2 linked regions of the Saccharomyces cerevisiae S288C genome follow. The protein of the gene in region 2 interacts with the protein of the main gene of each other region in a biochemical or structural test. Each region holds a gene or a part of one and is shown on either strand. Other genes may lie near its edges. The genes, in order: SNF2 and ARO80.

Region 1 (16,100 bases), on a different chromosome or scaffold from region 2:
TCTTTATATCTGTATATATTAAATAATGGGGATAGTGACACCACTTAGCCTGTAAATAAGGAATATTCGCACTATTTAGTCAAAAAATCCATCATCATCATCATTAATGTTGCCATCATCATTTCCACCTATGCCGACATTAAATTTTCCTCTAATACCTGACCTGATCGATTTTTTTTCACCGTAATGCAATTTTCTCTCTTCCCTGGATTCTTCATCGTCTCGGTTCATTATCAGTCTGTTGTCTCCTTCTGCAACAGCGCCAACTTTTACCATAAAATCTTCAAAGTCTTCCATCTTGGAATTATTACCACCCAGTTCTAGTAGCGTTATCATGTTTTTGATTACCTCACCCCGGTAATATACAATTAATGTCGGGCAATTGGATTCGGGATAGTTTTCAATTGCTCTATTGGCAGGTATTTCTACAAATTTTATTTCTCTGAATTTGCATGCAGCAGATTGGAAAAGATGAGACAGAATTCTGCTTTGTAGTTTACTTTGAAGCGAGAGATGAACGAATACGTAGACACCACCGTCATCCTCTTCACCATTGTCATTGGTTTGTGCACCTTCATATTTCTTTCCCTGACTGGCCAAAGTAACCTCTTTGTTGTATTCAGGTTTGTTAATGTGGAAAACTTCTCCAAATTTGGAACGTTCCTGTAATTTGCGGATTTCATTTAATCTTTTGATCTTGTAAGCTTCCAAGAAATCTTCATCTTCATCGTCTTCTAGTTCTTCCAAATCCGACAAGTCTTTATCTTCTAGTCTATTTTCATGCTGCTTGGCAATTGCTTCTTCTAATGCTTCTTCTAACTTTGCAGTGGGCGAAGGTGCACGTTCTGGTATTACACCCTTCGCTCTTAAAATATCGTTCCATTCACTGTCTTCAGATTCGTCCACCTGGACCTGAAACATTGGTTCATTCTGCATTATGTCTGCTGAATATGCCTTTCTTCTCAGTGATGTTTACTCGAAGGCGTTATCTTGTACTGCAGATTTCTTCAGGTCGATCATATAACCTTTTCTTTTTTTCCTCTAGCGGGATTTCCTCTTTTTTCAGTAATTTTTTTTCCAGCGATATTAATACAATGGGAAAATCAGGTCGTCACAATATTACTTAATTCTTTTTTGAATTGTAGAACATAAAGTATTGCTTTATTCATTCTGGTTCGAATTAGTCTCATACTGTAAGATCAAAGCGGCAACGAAGCTCGAAGCTATACAAGCACCCAAAAATATATTTATACCCAAGAATGACTAAGGAAGTACCATATTATTGCGATAATGACGATAACAACATCATCAGATTATTCATTATTAGGCATGGACAAACAGAACACAATGTAAAAAAAATTTTGCAAGGTCACAAAGATACCTCGATCAATCCTACGGGAGAAGAACAAGCCACTAAATTGGGGCATTACTTGCGTTCAAGAGGTATTCATTTTGATAAGGTTGTCAGTAGTGATTTAAAAAGGTGTAGGCAAACTACGGCTTTAGTTTTGAAACATTCAAAACAAGAAAATGTGCCTACTTCCTATACTTCGGGGTTAAGGGAGCGTTATATGGGTGTTATTGAAGGTATGCAGATTACTGAGGCTGAAAAGTATGCTGATAAACATGGTGAAGGCTCCTTTAGAAATTTTGGGGAAAAAAGTGACGATTTTGTTGCTAGGTTAACTGGATGTGTCGAAGAAGAAGTTGCTGAAGCATCTAATGAAGGTGTCAAGAATCTAGCCCTAGTTAGTCATGGAGGTGCTATCAGAATGATTTTACAATGGTTAAAGTATGAAAATCATCAAGCTCATAAGATCATTGTTTTCAACACCTCTGTCACTATAGTTGATTACGTCAAGGACTCCAAGCAGTTTATTGTGAGACGTGTCGGAAACACCCAACATCTTGGTGATGGCGAATTTGTCGTCAGTGACTTAAGATTACGTTAGACACTATATGGTTATTCACTGTTGGGTTTTTCTCATTTTGTATTAGAAATGCGGTTTAGGTAGTAATAGAAATTTCGCATGCGTGTATTTTATTTTAAAACATATAGTTCGTAAGGGTTTATCTAAATGCAGTAGATGTTCATAAATTATAGGGGTTTTATGTTTTTATATTATTGATATAGTTTTTCACATGAGATGAGAACGACGCGTTTATTTTAAAGGAAAGAAAACTGTGTCGTAATATGTAACAAGACTACATTGATACTCCATAGCAGAGAAATGGATATGTTCTGTCGGTGGTAAATTCAGGTGAATTGTATATCAGTGAAACTATGCAACAAACAAAATTTGGCAAGATGTATTTGGACCACGATTCGGTAGTTGAGTACTCAGAAGATGAAATTGTCGAAGCCGATCGTATTACATTGGGCTATAAAAAGAGATTGTCAATGATTGAAAATCAAATGCGACATCTTTTGGAGGATTTTAGTTTGGACGTTCAGCAGATTGAACCCATTCTTGCCGACTTGCAGAAGTACTACGACGCGTTTCTACAACTTTTACAGAAAAGGAACAAATCATTACAATGTAAGAGGTCCACTCACCAGCCGGTCCCATCCCCAATGAATAGCCAGACATCAACAAATGCAAAGGTTAATTTGAGCGGAAAGCTTATGAAGTTTCAGCTAAATAGTGTACAAAAGTTCGACGAAGAAAATATACTAAGGATTCTGCAAAATAAAATAGAATTCGAACATTATTTCCAAATTGATAAAGGTAAGAAGCAAAAGGTGCTATTACTTGCCGTATATCAATGCCTCAATGGGCCAACACGTTTGCATAAAGTGCTTAATATTGAGGGAATTATACATAATAATAGTATCAGAACTATACTGGGCAAACAAGTGTCCAGTTCTAAGTGGACAGTGTTTCTGTACGATGTAAAACTAGTTTTATTGGCGCATAGACAAGATGTTCCGAACTTAGAAACTAGCAAGATGATCGTCAGATATGGTGATTTATTTCCCTGTGCATTGTACTTCAAAGATCATACAGCATACTAAGCGCTTTCCAGGGACACCTTCTGTCGCAAAATATCAGAATTTTTCTTGATTAAACGCAGCATATTGAGTATATGAAATTAACGGGACACTGTGTGAAAAATTTGTAGTTGTACTTTTTTGTTATCCCCTTTGGTAGACATATGGACGAATTACTACTAAGATTGGCTTCCATAAGGCCCAAATCCAGATATCACCTACGGTATGTCCTTTTCCTACTTGCAATGACAAATAATTTGTTATTTATCTTGGAACCTATATAAGTTACATCTGATTGCTTTTGTATTTTTTTTGGAGAATATTATTACCCGCGGGGAAGGAAGTAAGGGGAGAATTTTTGAGGTGTATAAAAGAGAGTGGAGGCTTAATCAATCAAAGAATTCTTTCTCGTTTATTTTCAGGGTTTGTGACTAAGAAACGATATTAAAATGTGGAAGGCCGTGATGAATGCTTGGAATGGAACCGAGAGTCAAAGTAAGAATGTTTCAAATATTCAATCTTACAGTTTTGAAGACATGAAAAGAATCGTTGGAAAGCATGATCCTAATGTGGTTTTGGTAGATGTTAGAGAACCATCTGAGTACTCGATTGTTCATATTCCTGCTTCCATCAATGTGCCATATAGATCGCACCCTGACGCATTTGCCTTAGATCCTTTAGAATTTGAGAAACAGATTGGCATCCCAAAACCTGACAGTGCCAAGGAGCTAATATTTTATTGTGCTTCTGGCAAACGCGGGGGAGAAGCTCAAAAAGTCGCCTCCTCACATGGATATTCAAACACCTCACTATATCCTGGCTCTATGAATGATTGGGTTTCTCATGGGGGTGATAAACTTGACTTATAGCCTTGTATACTCTAGGTATGTACCCTGTGTATTTTCGTAAGCTAGTAACGTATTATGCCATTTATGTCACACCGTTCATAATATTTGCCTATTGCATTGGCTGTGATAGCGGCGGCGCAAAGAAATTAGGAAGTATAAAAAAAAAAATACAAAACTTAATCTGAATGGAATAAGATAGCGATAACTCTCAACAAATGGAAGCGAGACAGAAGAAAAAGACCAACGATGTTCAAGCATAGTACAGGTATTCTCTCGAGGACAGTTTCTGCAAGATCGCCTACATTGGTCCTGAGAACATTTACAACGAAGGCTCCAAAGATCTATACTTTTGACCAGGTCAGGAACCTAGTCGAACACCCCAATGATAAAAAACTATTGGTAGATGTAAGGGAACCCAAGGAAGTAAAGGATTACAAGATGCCAACTACAATAAATATTCCGGTGAATAGTGCCCCTGGCGCTCTTGGATTGCCCGAAAAGGAGTTTCACAAAGTTTTCCAATTTGCTAAACCACCTCACGATAAAGAATTGATTTTTCTTTGTGCGAAAGGAGTAAGAGCCAAAACTGCCGAAGAGTTGGCTCGATCTTATGGGTACGAAAACACTGGTATCTATCCTGGTTCTATTACTGAGTGGTTAGCTAAAGGTGGTGCTGACGTTAAGCCCAAAAAATAAGCCAAAAAGAAACAAGTATAATCGATATATCCTGTATATAGACAACCTTTTGTGTATTTCAAATTTTTTGTTGTCACCTCTCCGATTCATTCGATTTTCTCCTTGTGGTTCGCGGATAACCTCTTACTTCCATTAGTTTATGTGTGCGTTTATTTTTTTATCTTTCTCTATATATTACTTTAATGTGCATTCTTTTGCTTAAATACTCTACCTACGATTATGAAATTCAAATTGTTTAAACTCTTTACCCAATCTCTTCTTCCTTTTCCTTTCCATGACCTTTTCACGTTGCTTGGCCTTCATGTGATCAAATTTCCACTTTTGCACCACTTTACGTTTCTCAGACTTTTTCAAATGGTATCTCGTATTATTGTTTTTATTCATATCATTTTCGTATTCCTTGAGAATTTCACGCTCGAGATCTTTGTTTTTCATTGATTGCAATCTCGATTTCATACTTTTCAGTCTTTGTTCCATTTCTTCACGTTCTCCCTGGTCTATTTTTGATAGAAATTTTCTTTCTTGTAACAGCTTCTGCAGTTCATCAATTTCTTTTTCTCTATATTCGTCCAAGAACTGGTAACGTTTTCTTATGATAGAACTATCAAGGGCTTTACCGGTGGACTTATCAAATCTGATGTCCTGATAGAGGTTAGACCTTTTATTCCTCGGTATTTCCAGCCCAGGGATATTTCGGACTCGTGGTACCCTTTTCTTGGATGATTGTTCTACTGGAGCGTGTTTGCTCTTCTTTTTTGGTACTTTCTGACCATGATGAGTTTCATCCTCACTATCTTCTTCAAAGAATCCAGCATCCTCGTCTGATTGGTCCTCACTGTCCTCATCTTCATCAAAACTTTCTTCTCTGTATGTAGTTGTGATCGGTTTTTTGTGAACGGGTTTCGTATCTTTGAAATCTTCTTCATCTATTACCGTTTCAGCCTTCTTCAAAGAACCAAAAGACAAGGTTTTCAACTCATCGTCACTTGATTCTTGTTCGTCAATTTCTCGCTTACTTTTGTTCGCCATTATGCTCTCCAATAAGTTTCCGTCATCTTCTTCTACGTCGGAGTTCAAGTCTGGCTTCAGATTTTTAAAGTAATACGACATTTTTAACCTTCTAGTGCTTATTGACCCTCTATACAATTTTTGGATGGCAATTTAATTATACTATTTAGTACTTATTCTTATGCCCCAGTTTTCCGGTAGAAAGGCAAGCTCATCGGTTGAAAATTTTCAAAGCGGGTAATAAACGTGTCTTTCGGTATTTAACCGCTCAGATAAAAGTTATTATTGCAAATAAAAGTAAACGTCCATGCCATCAGTTAGTGGACTATATAGATACATATGTTGTGTTTAATTAGATAATCATTGAATGAGGAAACGTACCACTACAATTCGTCGTGCTTGTTTCCTGAGGAGGAATGGTTCTTTTTAATTGGCTTCTTGCCAGTTTTTAAGTAAGCAATATATTCAGAACGTCTACTAAAAGGACCCTCATTGGGGGTAATACTAAAAGTGTCCCGCAGAAATTTGGAAATGTCATTTTTGTTGATTGAGTTCCCTTCATACTCCCAAAATTTATCTTTGTCTGCATCAAAAACGACAAGCTTACTTTTATCGCTCTGTCGCTGTTCAGGAATGACCTTCTGCAAATATTTGAAAATCTCAGGAGTTTTTTCATATGTTGGGTTCATATCGGTTAGTTGCTTGAGTTTTTTGTTTGAAATTGAATAAAAATCGAACTTTCCTAACCAATCAAGGGCAATGCTTTTATAAACCGGTGAAATTTTGTCTTGTTTGGAAAACAACACCACGGAAAGTTTGGGTGACTTTCTAAGTAAAGAGCCAAGTGTATCTATACGGACAAACTTTTTGACATATGACCTTATTCTTGAAAGAGAAAAATCAACAATAGGCGCGAGAGTTCTTGCACCTGAGTACACTTCATTGGCATGAGCGCTGAAACTTTTTTTGGCGTTATCTATTGGCTTAGATAGGTCAATTTTTGGGGGCCTAAATACCATTAACGTGGGAAATCCGTTTACGTCGTATTTAGCACACAAAGCCTTATTCTTGTTAAGGTCACAGTTTACAGCAGCAACTTGGACTACACCATCCAATCTTTTTGCTGCCTTGCGGAACGTACTAGAGAGCTTCTTACAATGGCCGCACCACGGAGCATAAAATTCCACTAATGATGTGTAATTTGTGTTATGGATCGCTTTATCGAAGCTTTTTGGCGTTAACTCTGATATATGAGGATCGGAATCGTAAAAGTTTTGCGCCTTTACTTCATTCATAATAAAAAGTCCCAAAAGGAGCTTAATAATATTAAGAAATAACATTATATGTCAAATTTTGTCTCTCCTAATTGTGTTAAGTGGATGCTTACTGTTGAAAATGACTGCGAAAAGATATTTCTCTTCATGTTATTTAACTTTTACGTGTCAATTTTAATTTTTACCAAATTTTTATACGCCTCGCAAGGCTCGAACAACGGCCCTTTTTTCAAGGGATAAGCACATGACACTGGGCGACAAAGGAGGAATATAAAGAGAAATTTGCGTCAATTTGTATCCAGATAAGATCCTTTGAAAAGATGGTTTTTGGCTTGTGCGATAGTAATGGCTTTAAGGCTATTTCGAAAATCCAGTTTTTTTGCAAAGATATCAATGGAAGGCCCTAAAGGTTCATCGCCATTTGCGTTTTACGCATTTTATCAACTTTATTCGCACTTGAATCCGGGGAAATCGAGCAGCCTTTCTTTAGAAGATATTAGAAGAAGGCTATACCCCGACTTTAAAATAGATTACAATGAGAAAACTTCGTTGTTCATAACTTGGAAGAAAAAGTCCAATAAACATCACACAATAGACACTAACGAAGAGAATTATATACTTAGAGGATGTATCGGTACATTTGCTAAGATGCCGATTGCACATGGTATTGAGAAATATTCCTTGATTGCTGCTTTAGAGGATAGGAGATTTTCTCCGATCCAGAAAAGGGAATTGGTGGACCTGAAATGCAGTTGCAACATCTTAGGCAACTTCAAAACTATTTTTCGAGGTGGTGGTAATCCAAATGGGGACATTTTCGATTGGGAACTCGGAAAGCACGGTATTGAACTGTATTTTAAGCATCCCAAAACAGGCACCACATGTAGCGCAACCTTTTTACCTGATGTTATGCCTGAGCAACATTGGAATAAAGAAGATACCTTTGCCAATTTAATCGAGAAGGCGGGTTACTGGGGCAATATTAGTGAAGTAATGGATAATTTTGAAACTTATTTCATTGAAGTAATAAGGTACGAGGGCAAAAAAAGTTCCATAACTTATGAGGAATTTAACAAACAGTTAAAAGATATAGAGGCTTAGAAAATAACCCTCGTTAGTTAGTCTTAGAAACATTAAAAAAAATATGCTTTTATACATTGATCAAGCTTAAAAATTGGACGCAACCGGAATCGAACCGATGACCTCTTCCTTGCAAGGGAAGCGCGCTACCAACTGCGCCATGTGCCCTGATGACTGTTGAAACTGTTGTATCTCAAAATGAGATATGTCAGTATGACAATACGTCATCCTGAACGTTCATAAAACACATATGAAACAACCTTATAACAAAGCGAACAACATGAGACAAAACCCGTCCTTCCTTAGCTGAACTACCCAAAAGTATAAATGCCTGAACAATTAGTTTAGATCCGAGATTCCGCGCTTCCACCACTTAGTATGATTCATATTTTATATAATATATAAGATAAGTAACATTCCGTGAATTAATCTGATAAACTGTTTTGACAACTGGTTACTTCCCTAAGACTGTTATATTAGGATTGTCAAGACACTCCGGTATTACTCGAGCCCGTAATACAACAGAAACTCATTTCTAATGAGTGGTAAATACATTTGTGGGAAATATCTTTAAGGCCATCTCGGACCTGTATATAATCTCCGAGTATTTCCATTAAAGATGAATCAAATACATGAAATATCTATTAAAGACATATACTCAAGGAAAAGAAGTAGTAGATATATCTTCTTTATATATATTGCCCTGTGTTGCTAGCAGGGTGTTGGAACAAATAATTTGTTCCGTATTGGAAAATTTATAATTAGGTCCAAGAACAAGTTCACTATGATGACGACATATTACTTTGTTCAAAGAGATGGTTTAAAATAAATATGTATAGCAGAATTATAAGAGGCGAAATCGATCAATTAGTTGAACAATTAACTTAAAATCTAATATATATAAATATATATATATATATATATAGGAAATATACGGCACGTTATACTAGAGATATTAAACATCCCAACTCGGTTAATGGGTACAATAAAAAAAAGAGGGATTAATGTTTGTCTACGTATAAACGAATAAGTACTTATATTGCTTTAGGAAGGTACTATACACTCGCTTCTGTCATGCTCGAGTCCGCTTCATCTGTGAAAGATTCAGCCACGCTTGAAGTAACAACAGGAGGCAAGACGAGGGGTCTGGTGCCATACTGTTCATCAAATTCAGTAAAGTCGAGTTGTGAGTTATCGCCCATTATCTCACAGTATTTCTTCGTAACCACTTTTTCCAGTTCTAAAGAGTCTTCGTATACTACTGAACCCTCAGTATTGTATATCCTAGCATTGGAAAATATCAGATGAAAGTCTTGAAGGGTCTCTTTAAGGGAGTTGTAAGCTAGCGTTTCAATATGCGTGTTAATATTATCAAAGGCGACAGGGTACTTAATAATCATATAGTAGTCGGGATATAGTGCTTTGGAAGGTTTGGAGAGGAAAATGTCAGAAAGTTTCCTTCCAGCTTCATTTTCATAATTGAGAGCAAAGTGGTATAAGTCTAGAGCTTGTTTAGCAACTTTCTCTCTAATATCAATAGGACTCGTTGCCGCAGCGGGCGTGCGGACATAATCAAGCCCATTTCTTGCTTTTGGCGGCCTTCCTCGTCCACGTCCTCGCCCTCGACCACGACCACGACCGCGACCACGGCCCCTTGTTGAAGTTCTTGCTGATTTAACAGATGTTTTTCCCGCTGTACGTGGTTTTGGAATGTCCATAAAATCCTCACTGGGAGAGTTATCGCCAGTAACTGGACTTGATTCAAGCGCTGGTGGTTCAGAATTTTCAGATCCTTCAAGTTTCACTTTCTTAGGTCTTCCACGGGGCCTTCCTGCCTTTCTCTTTTTAGACAAGAAATCATCGTCATTCATTGCCAAATCCGTATCTGCCCGATCTTCGGCCGATATATTATTAATTCTAGGACCGTCATTATCAGCGTCAATGTTTTCGCCTTTAATTTCTCCATTCCCATCAATCGCCTCGCTCTTATCTTCCTTCTTTGTTCGTTGTTTTCTTGCCTGCTTGTCATTTTTTTCATCATCGCTAACTTCAAATTGTCTTAACCACTGTTCTTCAGACATATTATCGTTGTAAGTTGCCGTCTTACGTTCTCTTGCACCCCTTCCATTGTAAACAGCAGCAGATTCTGATTCTTCACGTTTGAGCTCGGCACCAATATCTCTACTGTAAATATCAGGTAATTCACTCTTTTCTAAGAGACGGCTCTTTACTCCCAATTCTTCCTCCTTCTTTGATCTATCTTCATCCATCCTTGTAAGAACAGCCATTTCTTCGTCATTTCGAGCAAGAATTTCGTTGATTTCTGAGTCTTTTAACTCCTCTTCTTCTTCAACACCAGACTCTCTTTTCTTTCTACGTTCCTCTTCTGCATCCAGCAAAGATCTAAGCAACGCTTCTTGTTCCTCCGATGTAGATTTGTTATCGAATTTACCTGCTTGAATGACTTTACCATCGATATCTAGCTTCTTGTAGGCTCTCTCTAGGATAACTTCTTCAACTGAATTCGTAGTAATCAATCTTAGAATTCTAACTTCATTCTTCTGACCTATTCTATGCGCTCTATCCTGAGCTTGCAAATCTTGATGAGGATTCCAGTCAGTATCAAAAATAATGACAGTGTCTGCAGTTTGTAAATTTAAACCCAAACCACCCGCTCTAGTTGATAAGATAAAGCACAAGTATTCAGAATCAGGGGCGTTAAATAGACGTAACAACTCACTACGTTCATCAGATTTTGTATGACCATCTAACCTCAGGTACTTGATATTAATGTACCTTAAAAAATCTTCCATAATATCCATAATTTGGGTCATTTGAAAAAAAATTAATACTCTATGCCCAGTTGCCTTAAGCTTAGGCAAAATTCTATCTAATAGTTCAAATTTACCAGCAACACGCCAAATATCATCATTCGTTTCTCTTGTTGGATTGATTTGGTCCTCAACTTCTTCAAATACAAAAGGATGATTACAGATTTTCTTTAGTTGCATGATTTGATTATTGAAACCTCTTAAACCTACCATTTTCTTATTATTTTGATCACCGATAAAAAGACGACGATATTTCAACATTTGTTGGTACATAATTTGTTGTAAAGCGCTCATTTTGCACTTCACTACCTTCTCAACTTTATCCGGTAATTCTTTTTCTACATCCTTTTTCAAACGACGCAATAAAAAGGGTCTCAAGACTTTATGCAATCTCCTGATAACCAAAAGCGTCTCTTCTTCACTCAACTCAATTTTATCTTGCCCACCGGTGTTGGCAAAGGGTGTATTGAACCATTCATCAAAAGATTTCACGGAATTGAAAATCTTGGGTAACACAAAATTCAATAAGGCCCATAATTCTGGCAAGTTGTTTTGAAGTGGTGTACCTGTCAAAATTAATCTATAATCTGCATGGTAATGTGTGTTCAAGGTTAAAGAAAGCTTGGATTGCGCATTTTTCATTCTATGGCCTTCATCAATAATCATATGGACCCACTTGACCTTGGATAAAAGTGCTCTTTCTTTAATAATATACTCAAAGGTAGTCAGAACTACATCAAATTCACCTGCCCTTATTTTAGCCTGTTTGGCTTTCCTCTCATTTGGCGAACCTTTAAATGATATAGTTCTTAAGGTAGGAGCCCATTTCGCGAATTCACTGCTCCAATTTGACAGTGTAGATAAAGGAACAATGACTAAATATGGCCCACGAATATTCTTCATTTCATATAAATATGTAAGTAAGGATATCGTCTGGATAGTCTTACCAAGACCCATTTCGTCTGCTAAAATACCATTTAAATGATTATTGAAAAGCGAAACCATCCACTGTAAACCCTTGATTTGATAGTCCTTTAAGGTACCACCAACCAATATTGAAGGCTGCTTCTTGATATCTTCTTTAATTCTATGTGCGACATTGTAATAATCGACGTTAGAATTGTCGTCGTCGTCATCATATTCTTCATCCTTCATCTTGGGGACCATGGACAAATCATCCACTTCCTCCGATGCTTCCTTTATGTGGGAATCAATCATTTCTTTAGTGTACTTTTGTTGATCTTTCACGGCTCTTGTTAAAGAATCTAAAAATGCGTTTGTTTGCCTTAGAAGATGTGTAATTCTTGTATCTTTGGTTTGGTCTAATAATTTTATATAGGCTTCCTCATCGTTCGCCTTTAAAGCCTGTAAACGTTCTTTTGCCTTTTTTTCAGCTCTCTTTTGCTCATCCCTTTCTAAATTAGTATGCGTAGCAATGAGTCTATGGCCAAACTTCAACCTTTTATTCTTTTTATCTTGTCTTCTATTATATTGATTGATGGCGGATTTATTCATCGACTTTAATCTGGCCACTGCCTCAGTCTTCTTCCTTTCTAACTTAAGTAATTCATGATTCTTATAAAGTTGGTTTGTTAGCAATGCATCTTGAACGTTGATGTTTCTTATTTTCGAAAGAAAATTTGGATGTGTATTGGTTAATAAAGAATTTTGATGCCATTCAAATTGTAATACATGACCTCTTACGGCTTTTTGTAACGGTAATAATTGTAAGGCGTAGTAATCGTAAAGAGCATTTTCCCTGGTTGATTCCGTACATTCGTCATTTAGTAGCTTATCCAAACAGTCATTTACCGTAGTATCTAGGTTCAATGCAATTAAAGTTTGGTAAATGTCAGTAGCGGTATGTGTGTCAATACCAACCGGTAGAACGCCAGGTTCAATAGTAAACTTTGCATGATCCGAATTGGCCAATAAAGTCTGATAATCGATATTACTATGTGAGATATTGGGCATCGTAAAAGAATCAACCATCATATCAGGATCATCTATATCTACCACTTTTATTCCTTCCTTATATTGATCTTGAAGGACGTTTAAAGGAACGGGTTTCTGCGGTTTTGGCGGGTTATTTTGCTCGGTGTGGGTCTTATTACTATTAGGAGCTGTTTTAGCTACGTTTGAAATGGTTTCGTTTTCCTCTTTTTTCGATTCTGTTTGCGTGATTGGAGTGCCACTTACAGTTTGCGAATTTTTATCGAGGGTGCCATTCTTCGCATTATGTACACTAGATGGACCAGCTGGTGAAACAGATGCAAAATTTTCGTCTTTGCTATCTAAAGGTGCATTTCTGGTAAGCCCAGAAACGTTGTCAGTGTTAGTGTTATTGTAGTGGGAATTGGTGCCGGGTTGCTGCGTATTGTTGCCGCCATTGAGATTTGATTGGTTATTTTGATCTGTGGGTTGTCTTCTTCTCGCAAACTCACTCAAAGACAGTAACATTCTTTTGAAATCTGGAGGATGGTTAATAGATTTTTGGATAACAGCCTGAAATTCAAACGGAATAGGCTTTCTATTTACTAGACATTTTAGAGATGTGATTTGGGCCTTTAACAGTTCGGATTGCTCGGCAGTAAACATTGTCATGGGTAATCTTCTCCCCTGTTGCAGTCTCGCTTGTGCTTGTTGTGCCTGTTGTGCCTGTTGCGCTTGTTGCGCCTGTTGTGCTTGGAATTGTGCCTGCTGCATCTGCGCCTGCTGGGGCATAGGAGAATTTATCTGCGAACCTGGCATCACATTTGAATCCTGTATGTTGTGTTCTTGTAATGATCGATTTTGCGGTTGAAGCTCGGAATTATTAAGGTTTAAGTTATTATGGTTTGAGTTATCTGGTTTCTCCGCAGCATTTTCTCCATTGTTTGCTGGTGTTGGTGAAAAATTAGTTGCATTTAATGAACCAACCGAAGATTGCCGTTGTGGTAGCATGTTATTACCACCATTGCTATTTAATGGCATCTGTGTTTGCATGATTGGTGATTGATGAGCAGAAGTGCTAAAGGTCTCATTTCCATTCAATTGCATATTCGGAGCTAAATGCGGGGAAGCAGAAGCAGAAATGTGCGAGGAAGCATTATTCGGCAGTTCTGCTTGATCTGAAGAATTTGGAACAATATTTTGCTGAGAACCTGAAATGCCTTGCTGTTGGCGTTGCATTTGTAATTCTTGTCGCTGCTTGGCAGCAAATTGCAACACTTTAGTCAAATAGATAAATTCCGGCACACTCGGAGCGTTCATTCCGTGTTCATTTCTCAAATGCTGCCATCTTAAATAGCAGCGGTTGACCTCTTCGTTGCTAAATTGACGCTGTGGTATGTTCATGGCAGATAATTAATCGAAAGTCGTGAAAATAGCAGAAAGTCGCGATTAGAGAAACAACAGAATAGCTGACCTTCCCGATGATTTATATACAAAAGGTCCACGTACGTCACAAATATCTTCTTTATTGAGACTAGAGGTAACCTTTCTTTTAACTTATTGTCCTACCGCCTCAGGATGGCCCCGTTTCGTCAATCAATTTGTTGATATTTGTCTTTCAAACGCGGTTTTAACATATCGCGAACAACGGTATTCGGGTAACAGCCTATCACTATTTTTACCGGCGGCTATTTTTCCTAAACCTAGTATATATACGCGAAAATTGGCTACCTGCAAAATTCCAATAGTGGCGAATGTATTGGAATTAATCTGCAAGGAAAATAAGCGTTAGGAACTTCAACTGTATTTTGCTCACTAATTCTTCTTCATCATGTCTTCTTCTTTTTTTTTCAATTACTTGTTAGTTCTTAGTGTCCTTATGTTCACTCAGAATAGCCATTAAGAATCGTGTCTTTTTGGAAGTGAAGGAGTTTCAATAAAAAGAAAAAAGCGAATATTTCAACACTGTGTTCTAAGAAAAGGCTCTATAGCTTTTTTTATTAGTTTTATTAATTTGAAAAATGCCTTGTTTGTTTTATATATATATATGTGTGTATTTAGGGCAGCCGCGGCCAACAGGGGGTATGGGTATGAAGAGGTGATAGAAGAGTGAAAAATGAAAAAAAATGGAAATCAAGGAAAGAGTAGTGAAAAAAAGAAAAAAAGGAAAAAAGGGCAAAAAGAGAACGCAATACCATAGAGTTGGAGGTGTTGGACTTGTGAATTTATTTTTGATTGAAAATAGTTCAGAGTCAATAGATTCTTCTTTAAAATAAAAAGGAGCCCAGACTTACTGATAGATCTTGCATATACTCCGGTAATGGATATTCCCTCTTCAAACCAAATTCAACATGGCCAAAGGAGTGAAAGGAACCGAAGAATGCCGAGGGCTTCTTTTTCTTCTACAGCCACTACTTCTACGGCGGCCACATTGACTTCCGCGATGGTACTGGATCAGAACAATTCGGAACCGTACGCAGGTGCAACATTCGAAGCCGTGCCAAGTTCTATTGTATCATTCCATCACCCTCATTCTTTTCAATCAAGCAACCTCCCAAGTCCGCATTCTTCAGGGAACCTAGAGCAGAGAGGCCGCCGATTGACTGAATCAGAGCCTTTAGTATTATCCTCGGCTGAACAGTCTCGAAGCTCTTCTAGAAACCCTTCTCATTTTCGATTTTTCACTCAGGAGCAAATATCCAATGCTGAAGGCGCTTCCACGTTAGAAAATACAGATTATGACATGGCCTGGGATGCCACCCCCGCTTATGAACAAGATAGAATCTATGGTACGGGCCTATCTTCCAGGCGTTCTTCTATTCGAAGTTTTTCCAGAGCATCATCTCTCTCAAATGCAAAGTCTTATGGATCTTTCAGTAAGAGGGGTCGCTCTGGTTCAAGGGCACCACAAAGGCTGGGAGAAAATTCTGACACTGGGTTCGTTTATCATTCCGCTACACATTCATCATCCAGTTTATCGAGATATACGACCAGAGAAAGAATTCCTATTGAACTAGAAAGTCAAACAGATGAAATACTAGAAGACGAGTCTTCTACACATTCTTTAGAATCTTCAGATAGTAGGCGATCTGCAAGCGAAAATAATAGAGGAAGCTTTTCTGGTCATGATGATGTTCATAATCAGCATAGCGAATATCTAAAACCTGACTATCATGAAAAGTTTTATCCACAGTATGCACCAAACTTGCATTACCAAAGGTTTTACATTGCGGAAGAGGATTTAGTTATTGGTATCGCTGCTTACCAGACCTCAAAATTCTGGTATATTATTTACAACCTGTGCTGCTTCTTGACTTTCGGATTAGTTTATCTTTTAACGAGATGGCTTCCCCATCTCAAAGTTAAATTATATGGCGTGAAAGTGCCATTGGCTAAAGCAGAATGGGTCGTGATAGAAAATGAGTTTGGTGAGTTTGTC
Region 2 (16,100 bases):
GACAATATTACCATCAAATCAGTATATGAAAAGTATTTGCCACAAGATGAAAATAGTGGGAAGTATCTACCTAGTTCAGAACTGCCTTTTGAATTAAATTTCAATTATTTGGCCAGCCTAGAAAAACTAGGTTTAGATAATCAATATGAGGAGTTCATGAGGCAAATGAATGGCATATATCCCGACAAATGGCTTTTTTTGATCCTATCACTTGCCAAATATTATATCTCTCGCGGGAGGCTTGACAGTTGTGGTGATTTATTGAAGAAAAGTTTACAGCAAACACTTAGGTACAGTGATTTTGATCGCATCTATAATTTCTATTTGCTATTTGAGCAAGAGTGCTCCCAATTTATTCTGGGAAAGCTAAAGGAAAATGACAGCAAATTCTTTAATCAAAAAGATTGGACTGAAAAGTTACAAGCTCATATGGCGACATTTGAATCTTTAATCAACTTATATGATATCTATTTGAACGATGTCGCACTAAGGCAAGATTCCAACTTGGTGGAAACGTGGATGAAAAGAGTGTCCTTGCAGAAGTCAGCAGCGGAAAAGTGTAATGTGTATTCAGAAGCTATACTGAAAATTGATCCCCGAAAAGTTGGTACGCCTGGCTCTTTCGGTAGGCTTTGGTGTTCGTATGGGGATTTGTATTGGAGATCAAACGCAATTAGTACAGCTAGAGAATTGTGGACACAATCTCTGAAGGTACCGTATCCTTATATAGAAGATCTGGAAGAAATTTACCTAAACTGGGCTGATAGAGAATTAGATAAAGAAGGGGTGGAAAGAGCTTTTTCTATCCTTGAAGATGCATTACATGTGCCAACAAATCCAGAAATTCTCCTCGAAAAATATAAGAATGGACACAGAAAAATACCTGCTCAAACTGTTCTATTCAACTCATTACGTATTTGGTCCAAATACATTGATTATCTAGAGGCTTACTGCCCAAAGGATGCAAATTCCTCCGATAAAATATTCAATAAGACAAAAATGGCATACAATACTGTTATTGATTTGAGATTGATCACTCCAGCAATGGCAGAAAATTTTGCATTGTTCTTACAAAATCATTACGAAGTCATGGAAAGTTTTCAGGTGTATGAGAAAACAATCCCTCTGTTTCCCCCCGAAATCCAATACGAATTATGGATTGAGTATCTAGAAGTAGCGACATCACATCAATTGTCATCACTGAGTCCTGAACATATTAGATTTTTGTTTGAGAAAGCACTTAAGAATCTATGTTCAAATGGTATAGACTGTAAAACAATTTTTATCGCTTATAGCGTATTTGAAGAAAGGATAAGTGGTCTGATTAGCAAGAGTATTGAGATATTACGTAGAGGTGCTGTAATAGGTACTGTTAGTGTGAGCACGCACCTCGAAAGTAGACTGCAACTGTGGAGAATGTGTATTTCCAAGGCCGAGTCTACTTTGGGACCATCAGTAACCAGAGAGTTGTACCAAGAATGCATTCAAATTTTACCAAACTCTAAAGCTGTTGAGTTTGTGATTAAATTTTCAGATTTCGAGAGCTCTATAGGAGAAACTATTCGAGCACGTGAAATCCTTGCCTATGGTGCAAAGCTTCTTCCTCCATCCAGAAATACTGAATTATGGGATAGCTTTGAAATTTTTGAGTTAAAACATGGGGATAAGGAAACTTACAAAGACATGTTGAAGATGAAGAAGGTGTTGGAATCCAACATGCTCATTGATTCAGCTAGCGTTAGCCATGAGGAAGGTAACATTAACTTCGTGGCGGCAGCAACCTCGCATGCTCCCAACTCGCATACTCTTACCCAATCAACCTCTTCATATTCGATTAATCCAGATGAAATAGAACTAGATATTTGATATAAGCTATGTAAAATCATGCATCATTTTCGAAACCATAAGTTCTTTTTTGGTGCGGCCTTCTGCAATTACTGATTAAGTAGCAATTTTCCTTCAAACATCCGTGCACTGTGGATGTTTGGGTTGTGTATTTTGCTTTCATAACATACAGATATTTTGTTTAAGGAAGTGAAATAAACAATATCATAAAACAGGTACTTCATAGACCATAAAGCATAACCCAGATTATCCTCTTAGATAGCAATGCTAATGTAAACAGAGATCCGTTTGCGTGACTTTATACTAATATGATATGTCTACTTCGCTTTGTGTTCGAGCAGCCTGGCAGTCCCCTCTAGCCGCTTTTTTCCCTTTCCGAAGGTTTCCGCCTAAGCCCCCTGGCTCTAGGCCGAGAAAATGTTAATGCTCCTTCTACGAGAAAATGCTTGTCGCCACACCAGGACAGGTGCTCGACGACGCTTCCGCTAATCTTTCTCAATGTTGTATCTTCTTTGGCGGTACATTACTAGTATGAAAATGGAATAAAAACAGTACCTAAATTATTTACTTACTTCCCGTTAAAGCAACCCCAAGTGCCCAATAGAAGGATAAATCAATAGTCAATATGCCTCCAAAGTTTGATCCAAATGAAGTTAAGTACTTGTACTTGAGAGCTGTCGGTGGTGAAGTCGGTGCTTCCGCCGCCTTGGCTCCAAAGATCGGTCCATTGGGTTTATCCCCAAAGAAGGTTGGTGAAGATATCGCCAAGGCCACCAAGGAATTCAAAGGTATCAAAGTTACTGTCCAATTGAAAATCCAAAACAGACAAGCTGCTGCTTCTGTTGTTCCATCTGCTTCCTCTTTGGTCATTACTGCTTTGAAGGAACCACCAAGAGACAGAAAGAAGGATAAGAACGTCAAGCATAGCGGTAACATCCAATTGGATGAAATTATTGAAATTGCCAGACAAATGAGAGACAAATCCTTCGGTAGAACTTTGGCTTCCGTTACTAAGGAAATTTTGGGTACTGCTCAATCTGTCGGTTGTCGTGTTGATTTCAAGAACCCTCATGACATCATTGAAGGTATTAACGCTGGTGAAATTGAAATTCCAGAAAACTAAGGTTGTTTATAACATCAAAAATCCATTCCATATATTATTCTGTACTTTTAATTTAAAAGGCTTTAATCTAACATATAAACCAAAATATTTTACTTCACGTTATATTCTTTTTTTTTACTGTTGCAGCAAATTGTAGTCCGGCTGTGTTCAATCAACCGTCTACATGTTGAAATAGATATTTCCATCTATGAAATGGGCCAAATTGTTCATCGACGTAAATATCAGGCAGGTTTCTAGTATTTGACCCTTCTCTTTGCAAATTTTTTGTCTTGACATCCAAGCTTCCTGAAACCCATCTTTCACTTGCTTGTATTATTGTAGAATTATTTCAACGATACCACTCATAACTAAAAAGGCTATCCTTCTTTGCATGTAGCCAATGCATTGAAGTGTTGCTATTGTCCCCGTTCAGGCTCTGCAACTGGATAAAATATCTTATTATGGTGACGGATTAAAATTATTCAATTTAAAAATCCTTCTGCAAATACAAAAAGGAACTTTTGAGTTTTACGTATTCTTATGTATTAGAGTAGAGAATATTTTAAAATAATAAACTAAGATAGTGTGTATCAGTTGTTATTTTATATGTGGTTTATGTTCATTTTTTTTACTTCTCTTTCGTTAATTCCATTTTCATTAACTAAATATATATTTGCCTGAAAAACATTATGTGCATGGCCTTCTTTTCTAATTGAAAGGTTTACATACATCAATGGCATGATAGGATGTTGCAACTTTCAATCTAAACATGGTTGCCATATAAAATATTACTCTAAAAATGTACTAAGGATAAAATTAAACGCTACCTAATCCTGCCGATCATAGGATACCTATTGTATGTTCAAGAAGAAGAAAATAGGTTCAAATTAATAGTTCAATTTAAACTTCGAGTCCATTTTACAATATTAGTTTAATTTTGGGCAATTCTTATAATTTCGGATTAACTAAAGTACCTATATAATTATACCTTATCGCGGCGAAAAAAGTATAAACCACTTATTGTAGTCTTCTAGCGCAGGCCTGCTCATTTTTGAACGGCTTTGATAAAACAAGACAAAGCATGTCAAAATTTACTTGGAAGGAGTTGATTCAGCTTGGTTCCCCCAGTAAAGCATACGAGTCCTCCTTAGCATGTATCGCCCACATAGATATGAATGCCTTTTTTGCACAGGTTGAGCAGATGCGATGTGGCTTAAGCAAAGAAGATCCGGTAGTCTGCGTTCAGTGGAATTCCATTATTGCAGTCTCTTATGCAGCAAGAAAGTATGGTATATCAAGGATGGATACGATTCAGGAAGCACTAAAAAAATGTAGTAACCTCATACCGATCCATACAGCCGTTTTTAAAAAGGGAGAAGATTTTTGGCAATATCATGATGGATGTGGATCTTGGGTGCAGGATCCTGCAAAGCAGATAAGTGTGGAAGATCATAAAGTATCACTGGAACCATATAGGAGGGAAAGTCGCAAGGCGCTGAAGATTTTCAAAAGCGCATGTGATCTAGTCGAAAGGGCGAGTATTGATGAAGTATTTCTTGATTTGGGCCGGATTTGTTTCAATATGCTAATGTTTGATAATGAGTACGAGCTTACAGGCGACTTGAAACTGAAAGATGCATTAAGCAATATTCGTGAGGCTTTTATAGGGGGCAACTATGATATAAATTCCCATCTACCTCTTATACCCGAAAAGATAAAGTCTCTGAAGTTTGAAGGCGATGTTTTCAATCCAGAGGGCAGAGATCTGATCACAGATTGGGACGATGTAATACTTGCACTAGGATCTCAGGTATGCAAGGGTATCAGAGATAGCATAAAAGATATTCTCGGTTATACTACTTCGTGTGGTTTGTCTAGCACCAAAAATGTTTGCAAGTTGGCTTCTAATTACAAAAAACCTGATGCCCAAACAATTGTGAAAAATGATTGTTTATTAGATTTTTTAGATTGCGGAAAGTTTGAAATTACATCATTCTGGACCTTAGGCGGCGTTCTTGGCAAAGAACTAATTGACGTATTGGATCTTCCCCACGAAAACAGTATTAAACACATCAGAGAGACGTGGCCTGATAATGCTGGCCAGCTTAAGGAATTTTTAGATGCTAAAGTTAAGCAATCTGATTATGATCGCTCAACCAGCAATATCGACCCTTTGAAAACAGCAGATTTAGCAGAAAAGTTGTTTAAATTAAGTAGAGGCCGGTACGGTCTGCCCTTAAGTTCTCGCCCTGTTGTAAAAAGTATGATGTCAAACAAAAATCTTAGAGGAAAATCGTGCAATTCCATCGTGGACTGTATTTCTTGGCTTGAGGTCTTCTGCGCTGAGCTTACGTCCAGGATTCAGGATCTGGAACAGGAGTATAACAAGATCGTAATACCAAGAACAGTATCTATATCTTTAAAAACAAAATCCTACGAAGTATATCGAAAATCAGGTCCAGTTGCGTACAAGGGCATCAATTTCCAGAGTCACGAACTCCTAAAAGTAGGCATAAAATTTGTCACGGACCTTGATATTAAAGGAAAGAACAAAAGTTATTACCCTTTAACAAAACTAAGTATGACAATTACTAATTTCGATATTATAGATTTACAAAAAACTGTTGTAGATATGTTTGGCAATCAGGTCCATACTTTCAAAAGCTCAGCAGGCAAGGAAGATGAGGAAAAAACTACCAGCTCGAAAGCTGACGAGAAAACTCCGAAGTTGGAATGTTGTAAATACCAGGTGACTTTTACAGACCAGAAGGCTCTTCAAGAGCACGCAGACTATCATTTAGCATTGAAACTGTCGGAAGGCTTAAATGGTGCTGAAGAATCATCCAAAAACCTTTCTTTCGGGGAAAAAAGATTGTTGTTTTCACGGAAAAGACCAAACTCACAACATACTGCCACACCTCAGAAGAAACAAGTTACATCTTCCAAAAACATCTTATCATTTTTTACAAGAAAAAAATGACCTATTCCAAATAGACAATTATATGGCTTCAGCAACTAAAACGTCCTGATAATATTGCTTTTCCAAAATTTCTAAATGATTCACGGGCGCCAGGTTTTGTTGATAAGAAGAACGAAGTACCTTTAATATCTTATGATCGGAAAATACCGACTGATGACTTTTGAGACTTCGCTTTTGATCAAAGTGATAACATTATGTACAATATTCATACTAGGATTTCTTGATAGAGATTTGGAAGTCTATAAAAAAGAAACAACTTGTTATAATTTATTTTTGTAGACATGACTCACAGAATATTACATACCTTCATAATATATAAGATCCATGTGATAATGAATGCTGGAAGCATGATCTCTGACCTCAGCTGATTGTTCAGGGGACTTAATCAATTAGATGCGTTTAAAGCAGGAATTGGTTTGATACACACAATCTCATGTTACAAAGTAACGCTGTTTAAAAACAAATCTGAAGAATAATAATGCAAGTAATATTATACATCATAAAAAAGTTATACACTATCATTACTCTTCTGAAGACCAGATTACAATACAAATTAAGGCAACTTGGCCGAGTGGTTAAGGCGAAAGATTAGAAATCTTTTGGGCTTTGGCCCGCGCAGGTTCGAGTCCTGCAGTTGTCGTTATTTTTAATGTTTTTATTTGGTAGCAACAAAATTTGTCAGTCAATTTCTTTTGTTTTTTTCTTTAAAAGGTGTAACAACGTTATCACTCAAGTATTCGTTTCTTATTATCAAAAGTCTTAGACTTTCTATTAATAGCAGTTTGTTCTTTTCCACAACGCGCTAAAGATATTTCGCTTTCTGACCCGTTTGGTTGCAGAAAATTTTTTTAACTAATTTAGGAATATTTAGATTAGTTAATTGGAGGGCTTATTCAAAGACAGTAGTTACAGCGATTTAAAAGCAGTGTCCCTCGTAGGCACCTGTAGTCATTTCATTCGTTTGGATATTTCGCTGTACTGCTTCCTGCATTGTAATCAAGAGAAAGTTTACAACTTAGAGCACTAACTTTGTTTGTAAACATTTTCCGTTTATAATCAATTGCCATATCATCAATTTTATTATCATTCTTTAACCAGTAACTAACTGATTCCGCACCCACATTATTGAAATTTTTGCGATATCTTTTTCCTCAACTGACGCAGTCAACAGTCAGAAACAGAGAATGTATAAAGATGGTCTCATTGAAAATAAAAAAAATTTTACTCCTGGTGTCATTGTTAAATGCAATCGAGGCCTATAGTAACGATACAATATATTCAACTTCATACAATAATGGAATAGAAAGCACACCCTCATATTCAACATCCGCGATATCCAGTACCGGATCTAGCAACAAAGAGAATGCAATAACATCAAGCTCTGAAACCACCACAATGGCTGGCCAATATGGTGAAAGTGGAAGCACAACAATAATGGATGAACAAGAAACTGGTACGTCCAGCCAGTATATTAGTGTGACGACGACAACGCAAACTTCTGACACGATGTCATCAGTAAAAAAGTCTACGGAAATAGCGACACCAAGTAGTAGCATTGTACCCACCCCTTTGCAGTCCTATAGCGATGAATCACAAATATCACAAACGCTTAGTCACAATCCGAAGTCCGTGGCGGAGTCAGATAGCGATACAACCTCCTCGGAATCCTCAAGTAGCGTAATAATATCCACATCCGATAGTTCAGCGGTACCGAGGGAAATAAGTCCAATAATAACCACAGATTCTCAAATTTCCAAAGAAGAAGGCACATTGGCTCAAACTTCCAGTATCAGTGAAACAACGAGAATTGCACAAATGGTAACCAGAGTTTCACAAATCTCCAGCATAACGGCAGCTTCAACAATAGATGGCTTTAGTAGTGAATCAACACAAACAGATTTTTCCAACACTGTATCGTTTGAAAATTCAGTCGAAGAAGAATATGCCATGAGCAAATCCCAGCTCTCTGAAAGTTACAGTTCAAGTTCAACCGTCTATTCTGGAGGGGAGTCGACTGCAGACAAGACATCTAGCTCCCCCATTACCAGCTTTTCATCTTCTTATAGCCAAACAACGTCAACTGAAACCTCTGAGAGCAGCCGAGTGGCTGTTGGAGTATCCCGGCCCTCTAGCATAACGCAAACTACATCAATTGATAGTTTTAGTATGAGTGAAGTAGAGCTTTCCACATATTATGACTTAAGTGCTGGCAACTATCCTGACCAAGAACTGATTGTCGATCGCCCGGCCACTTCTTCCACTGCCGAAACATCTTCAGAGGCAAGTCAAGGTGTAAGCCGTGAATCTAACACTTTCGCAGTATCTTCGATTTCCACGACAAACTTTATAGTTAGCAGTGCTTCGGATACTGTTGTTTCAACTTCAAGCACCAATACAGTGCCATACAGCTCTGTCCATTCAACCTTTGTTCATGCGACTTCCTCGTCGACTTATATTTCTTCTTCCCTTTATTCTTCCCCATCCTTATCTGCATCCGTTTCCTCTCACTTTGGCGTTGCTCCTTTTCCATCTGCTTACATATCTTTCTCATCAGTACCCGTTGCAGTATCCTCGACGTACACGTCTTCACCATCGGCTTCTGTTGTAGTACCTTCTGCCTATGCGTCTTCACCATCAGTACCCGTTGCAGTATCCTCGACGTACACGTCTTCACCATCAGCACCTGCTGCAATATCCTCAACGTACACGTCTTCACCATCGGCACCTGTTGCAGTATCCTCGACGTACACGTCTTCACCATCGGCACCTGCTGCAATATCCTCAACGTACACGTCTTCACCATCGGCACCTGTTGCAGTATCCTCGACGTACACGTCTTCACCATCAGCACCTGCTGCAATATCCTCAACGTACACGTCTTCACCATCGGCACCTGTTGCAGTATCCTCGACGTACACGTCTTCACCATCAGCACCTGTTGCAATATCCTCAACGTACACGTCTTCACCATCGGTACCTGTTGCAGTATCCTCGACGTACACGTCTTCACCATCAGCACCTGCTGCAATATCCTCAACGTACACGTCTTCACCATCGGCACCCGTTGCAGTATCCTCGACGTACACGTCTTCACCATCAGCACCTGCTGCAATATCCTCAACGTACACGTCTTCACCATCAGTACCCGTTGCAGTATCCTCGACGTACACGTCTTCACCATCAGCACCTGCTGCAATATCCTCAACGTACACGTCTTCACCATCAGTACCCGTTGCAGTATCCTCGACGTACACGTCTTCACCATCAGCACCTGCTGCAATATCCTCAACGTACACGTCTTCACCATCGGCACCCGTTGCAGTATCCTCGACGTACACGTCTTCACCATCAGCACCTGCTGCAATATCCTCAACGTACACGTCTTCACCATCGGCACCCGTTGCAGTATCCTCGACGTACACGTCTTCACCATCAGCACCTGCTGCAATATCCTCAACGTACACGTCTTCACCATCGGCACCTGTTGCAGTATCCTCGACGTACACGTCTTCACCATCGGCTCTTGTTGTCCTGTCATCTACTTCCACATCCTCTCCATATGATATTGTTTACTCTCCATCAACTTTTGCTGCCATATCATCCGGTTACACGCCTTCACCTTCTGCTTCTGTCGCCATGTCATCTACTTCCTCATCCTCTCCATATGATATTGTTTACTCTCTATCATCTTCTGCTTCCAGATCGTCCATTGCTACATATGAATTTTCACCTTCCCCATCTACTTCTTTACCCACCTCTTCTACTTACACATACTTTTCATCTGCTTATGCGTTTGAATTTTCTTCTGAGCGGTACTCAACAACATCCACAATAGCACCAACTCAAATACATAGCACATTGTCCAGGATTACGGATTTCTTACTGCAGACTTCGATGGCAATCCAAAGTATAGTCTCTCAGCAAATTTCTACAAGCTCAACTTTAAATGACGAAATACATTCAAGCGCGCTTTCCGTTTTCAACCCTTCAGCTTCGAATTTGGTTGAAACTTCTCTGATAATTTCATCGACCCAAGCAAGCATAACAAGCCCCAAAAACTCAGCTAAAATTAGTTCACTACAGAGCCAGCTGTCTAGCAGTACAAAAAATCCATACGATACGGCGAACAAGAATACTGAGACCAGTGGCAGATCCACAGTTGTTTCGAATTTCCTATACACATCTTCCGCGGCGAAACCAGACAATGAAAAGTTTTCCGCTACTCCTACAGAGATAACTACAATTTCAAGTAGCTCGCACGCATATTCTTTATCTATTCCAAGTTCTCATAATTCTGTGACTGGACTATCACATAACTTTGTCGATTCGTCAAAAAGTGCAACCTCATTTGGCTACTCATCCTCATCAATATCTTCAATAAAACTTTCAAAAGAAACAATACCTGCAAGTAAATCTGTTTCAAACACACAAGAAAGAATCACAAGCTTTACATCAACATTACGAGCAAATAGTCAGTCTGAAAAATCCGAAGGGAGGAATTCTGTAGGTTCTTTACAAAGTTCACATATTTCATCTAACCCATCGCTCTCCACAAATACAAAGGTTGATTCGAAAAGTTTATCCAGGAAAGTATCGAAAACCATGGGCGAAAATGGCGAGGAAACCGGCTTAACCACAACAAAGACGCAATACAAAAGTTCTTCTGAAACCAGTGGGTCATATTCTCGGTCTTTTACAAAAATCTCAATTGGACCTGCTACGACTGCAGTTCAAACTCAGGCAAGCACTAATTCAGTATTCACAGCCCCTGCCTTGTCTACCTATCCTACTACTCCGTACCCCTCTCCAAATAGTTACGCATGGTTACCTACCGCTATTATAGTGGAATCATCCGAAACGGGCCCCACTACCGCATCATTCAATCCGTCAATCACTGGTTCACTTCCCAATGCAATTGAACCGGCCGTCGCTGTATCGGAACCCATTAACCACACTTTAATTACCATCGGATTCACGGCCGCTTTGAATTATGTATTTTTGGTTCAAAATCCATTATCTTCGGCTCAAATCTTCAACTTTTTACCTCTCGTTTTGAAGTATCCCTTTTCAAACACCTCATCAGAACTGGACAATAGTATTGGGGAATTATCCACTTTTATTCTTTCATACCGGTCTGGGAGCAGCACAACTACCCTTTCCCCAAAATCCATATCATCATTATCAGTTGTCAAGAAAAAAAAAAACCAGCAGAAAAAAAATGCCACGAAGTCAACCGAGGACTTACATCCTCCACAAGTCGACACATCCTCAATAGCGGTGAAAAAGATTGTTCCCATGGTAGACTCTTCTAAGGCATACATTGTATCAGTTGCAGAGGTATATTTTCCAACAGAAGCCGTAACATATCTTCAGCAATTAATCCTTGATGAAAATTCGACTCTTTATAGCAATCCTCAAACCCCACTGCGAAGTTTAGCTGGTCTAATAGATAGTGGGATCCCATTAGGGGGATTGACGTTATATGGCTCTGGAGATGGTGGTTATGTCCCTAGTTTAACCTCATCAAGCGTCTTGGATTCTTCAAAAGGAAATTCCCAAAACATAGATGGAACTTACAAGTATGGAGCTTTGGATGACTTTATCAATTCATTCACAGATTCTGCATCTGCAGGAAAGTATGCTGTAAAAATAATCATCTTTTTGATTGTTTTAACTATTGGCGTACTCTTGTGGTTATTCGTTGCATTTTTTGCTTTCCGTCATAGAAATATATTATTGAAAAGACACCCAAGGAACTGCATAGGGAAAAGCCTCAATAATGAGAGGGAACTTGAAAGTACCGAGCTTTCCCGCTCTTCTTCTGGAAACCAAGTTTATAATGAAAAGCCGCCAGAATCTGAAAATGAAAGTGTTTACTCTGCGGTAGATGATCATTATATTGTGACTGGCGAAAACACAGTCTATAATACTATTCACAGATTACATTATACCATTAATGATGACGGTGATCTATTGTACAGGGACGCAATCCCCCTCGATTTTGATCAAACCAATGGGGATGATGGTTCGGGAATAGACAGTATAGTAAGAGACTGCGTGTATGACAAAAACCAAGATGCTACGGAAGCCTTCTTGAATGATGAGGAGTCCATATCAGGCATTCTAGATGTTGATGAAAATGGTGATATTCGATTATACGACAGTTATTCTGACAATGAAGAGTCAAACAGTTTTCACTTGCCAGACGAAGTTATTGAAAACTATAACAAGAACCATTTGTGCGAAACTAAACTTCATGGACTAGGCACTGAATCATGTACTACAGATGATCCCGATACTGGAAATCAAATTACGAATGAGTTTTCTACAGGGAGTCAGACATGTTTGCCAAGTACCGCTTATACCACACCCCTTCATACAAATTCGATTAAACTTCACACATTACGCTACACAGAATCTTCACTACCAAAGCCAAATCAGACTCTTTTCTCTAATCTTGAAGATTTAGAAATAGAGGATATTGACGACAATGGTAGTGTTTCAGATGTACATATCGAGGAGCTGGATGCTTTAGACGAAGAACTTTATAAGAGAATGTCGAAAGTTATAAAACAACAGAACCATCAAACGACAAAAATATAGCGAAAAATGATTATTGACTGTGCAATAAACGCTGCTGGAAGGGGCGCTTGCAACAAAAGATGATCACAAAAATTGATACCCATTAATACACATAGGCTCACGCCATTACTATTATTATATATATCATCAAGTATTGCATTTGTAATTTTATGAGTCCTTCTTAGTAATACATGAAGGCTTTTTTTTAATATTTTCGGAATCAACGAGAGTACACTATTCTATCCGATGATAACCGAGATAAATGAAGATAGTAACTAACCAATGAAAAAAGAGCGAGAATAAATTAAAGCAATAATATCAAGTTAGTCGTGGGAATATATGATCCACGCATAATAAGGTTACATTAAGCACTGCTTTATCCTCTATGTCTGCTAAGAAAAGGCCTTCGGGAAACGCAGCATTTGAACTTCCAAAACGGAGAAGAACCTACCAAGCTTGCATCAGCTGCAGATCAAGGAAGGTGAAATGTGATCTTGGTCCGGTTGATAACCCACACGACCCACCGTGTGCACGTTGCAAAAGGGAGCTAAAAAAATGTATTTTTAGCTCTAATAAGGGAACTTCGAACGACTTGCCTCCTAATTCGATTAATGCAATAAGTCTGCCATCTCTAGGTAAGAGTAAGCAAGAGATACAAAATGACTCAACGAGCCCAATTTTATCGGATGTACCTTTGTCAAGAAAAGGGATTAGCAGTGAAAAATCATTTAAATCAGAAGGGATGAAGTGGAAGCTTGAACTTTCCTCCATGCAGAACGCCCTAGAGTTTCTGGCCCAAGCTGCTGGAACTGTAGCAAAAGAAGGCGCAAAAGAAATCATAAAAGAGAAGTCCACAACACCGAAACCACTGAAAAGTTCTTTGGATGCGACAAATAAATCTGCTACGGACGAGGGGTTGAAACGACTTTCAAAAAGTGACAGTACTAACACACTTTACGAAAATACAGCAGATATGCTTAACCACACGCTGAATACGAATAGGAAAACATCACAATTAATGGAAGAAATCGGGAAAGTGAGACCTCCACCTACCCGGAAAATTGACGACTTCGATTACATCGGTCCAGATAGCTTGCTTACTAAAGAGGAGGCGATTGAACTCATAGAGGCATTTTTTCTCACGATGCACCCATTCTTTCCCAATATCCCACTTCAATTGCATGATCCGAAAGAATTAGCAGAATATCCAATTTTGTTTTGTGCAATTTTGACTGTTTCTGCTCGCTATCATCCTTTCGATACTTTAGGATTAGACAATGGAGAAGATGGGATGAGACACATTGAAGTTCACGATAAATTATGGGTGTATTGCCAGAAGCTTATATCTCAAACAATTTGGGCAGAGGCTAGTACTAGGTCAATTGGCACCGTGCTTGCTTTCATAATTTTCACGGAATGGAACCCAAGGAGTATCCACTATAAATGGTCTGACTATGCAAATGATCCTGAGTTAAATAATGTCAACGCTAGAGGAAGTAAGAATATTAGTACGAGGAAGGACGAAGAAGGATTGACCGGTGTCGGCGCAATCCGTAGAAGCGACCGAATGTCATGGATGCTGACAGGGTCTGCAGTAAGGCTGGCGCAAGATATGGGATTCATTGAAAACAGCTCAAAAGTATTCATTGTCACTCATATATCTGAGACTACCAGTGCTATGAATATGAATCAAAGATCCTTATTAGCAGAATCATTCAGCGTTTTAAACTTGAATTTAGGAAAAATTGAAAACGATGGAAATGAAAGCAATGAGGATTACCTTGGGAATGAAAAATTTTATCTGAATGAGATTTTGCCTGATGAAGAAAGTAAACTAAGGTGGAAGAGAGTTTTTGAAAACTCAGAAAATGACCACGACAACGAGAAAAATTTTTTGACTGATTGGGAGAGGGAGTTTTTAAACGATGAGTATGTTCTATATTATTCTAATAAAAAAGATGATACTAATCTAGCACAGAATCACATACCACCATTTCCACTAAGATTCTCATTCGCCCAAAGAGCAAAAATAGAGATCATTCGAATCCTATCCATAGCATATGAGACGATTTACTGTGAGAAGAATAAGAGGAAATTGGCAACGACAGATCAGAGACACAACCTCTCTGTCCTAAGTGTTTTTTCTCCCTTGATAGAGGGCTGGCTCAGTAACTACAGAGAGCTTCTTGTACCCCTTTCTGATGTCCCTTTCTCACTAGCAGATAGGAAGAACAAAAAACAAATATTTGATAACATCGATAGAATAAATGGTGAAAGTATTATCACAGATTTCAATTATTGTCAACTTTATATCTTTTCCCTCGCACTGCAAGTGGATGGGAAAACAAGCAGATTGAATATGAATGAAATTGTGACAAGCGCGAGGTATGTGGAATTAGCATACAGATCTGCAAAAGAAATATTGAGTTCTGCAAAGCGAGTTTCAAGGCAAGGAATGCTAAAATACATGCCCGTAAGATGGGTAATACGAATAATTAGATCCATTGCGTTCATAGTAAAATGCTACCTAACACTTACTGGTAGTGAACTGGCAACAAATCCAGATGCCAGAAACATTTTAAAATTAAGTGCAATATCGGTTGACGAAACATTCGATATCATCCGTGACACTGCGGTTACTTTGAAAGAAGCTACACCAGATGAATTACATCTATGTCAAAGATACGCAGCCATATTAATGTACTTATGTACAGAGATGAAACTTCGAAAAAAATCTTACTTAGAACGACCACCCTTATTAAGAGATGGCACCACTCCTCTAGAGAGCAATCGCGAATCCTCACTGGAGGGACAAGACTTAACTAAGAAGCCAATATTCTCTAAACGTATTGGATATAATAAAACCGAGACTACTTTTGAACCCTCGGAAAGGCCTTTGACGGAGGAAATTAATAGCAATTCTCAGAATTCAAATGATACATCTTCTAAAGGTATCGTTGATCCTTTTGTTGAACAAAACAACGATATCACAACAGCGTTACTGAACAATGAACTCTTCCAAGGTCCATCTCTATCTGACGAGGTTACAGATTGGTTCGGTGCTAGTGAAGATATCGGGCTTGAATTTGTAGAACCATGGACAGAACTTATTGAGCAACGATATATGCAATGTGGAGATGGTGATAATAATAATTTCGAAAATTTATACAACTTGTTCGTGAATAGTAATAACATCAATAATGATATTAATAACTCAAGGCCAATAACGCGTAAATAAGTAGATATCAAAGAATTACGTCATCAACCAAGACAACCGCACTATTCGTAAAAATGATTTTAAATACAAAGACAGAATAACAGGGGAAGATGGAGGTATATAATAATGCGAATGCTTCATAATACTATGACTGGTTTTCCATTGGGCATATGAGATGATTTTACGGCTCAATCACTACTTATATATGATTTCTATAACAAAGCAGGCCATTACACATTAGGAACGGCTATCTATTACATAAGAATATGCAGCAAATTCGTTGGATATGTTAAAGTATATTCCACGCATGCTGAGAAGTGGATTGCCAGAAACGTGACGTGAAATACCTACTAGAACAAAAAAAAAAGGAATGC

The links.
Region 1: the proteins of ARO80 (region 2) and SNF2 form a complex in vitro, tested with the Saccharomyces cerevisiae proteins (one study listed by BioGRID).

Annotation. Positions count from the first base shown.
Region 1 is NC_001147.6:846,194-862,293, forward strand, and holds SNF2 (SWI/SNF catalytic subunit SNF2), read right to left. Parts: upstream 14,066-16,100; coding exon 8,954-14,065; downstream 1-8,953. Other genes in the region: PLP2 (Plp2p), read right to left, coding at 76-936; YOR283W (phosphoglycerate mutase), read left to right, coding at 1,260-1,952; HUA2 (Hua2p), read left to right, coding at 2,285-3,016; thiosulfate sulfurtransferase RDL1, read left to right, coding at 3,442-3,861; thiosulfate sulfurtransferase RDL2, read left to right, coding at 4,087-4,536; rRNA-processing protein RRP36, read right to left, coding at 4,744-5,646; protein disulfide isomerase MPD1, read right to left, coding at 5,928-6,884; YOR289W (uncharacterized protein), read left to right, coding at 7,164-7,919; YPK9 (putative acid anhydride hydrolase), read left to right, coding at 14,982-16,100. UniProt on the Saccharomyces cerevisiae protein: Involved in transcriptional activation. Catalytic component of the SWI/SNF complex, an ATP-dependent chromatin-remodeling complex, which is required for the positive and negative regulation of gene expression of a large number of genes.
Region 2 is NC_001136.10:1,299,146-1,315,245, forward strand, and holds ARO80 (Aro80p), read left to right. Parts: upstream 1-12,894; coding exon 12,895-15,747; downstream 15,748-16,100. Other genes in the region: mRNA splicing protein SYF1, read left to right, coding at 1-1,866; 60S ribosomal protein uL11 RPL12B, read left to right, coding at 2,471-2,968; RAD30 (DNA-directed DNA polymerase eta), read left to right, coding at 4,029-5,927; HKR1 (Hkr1p), read left to right, coding at 7,122-12,530.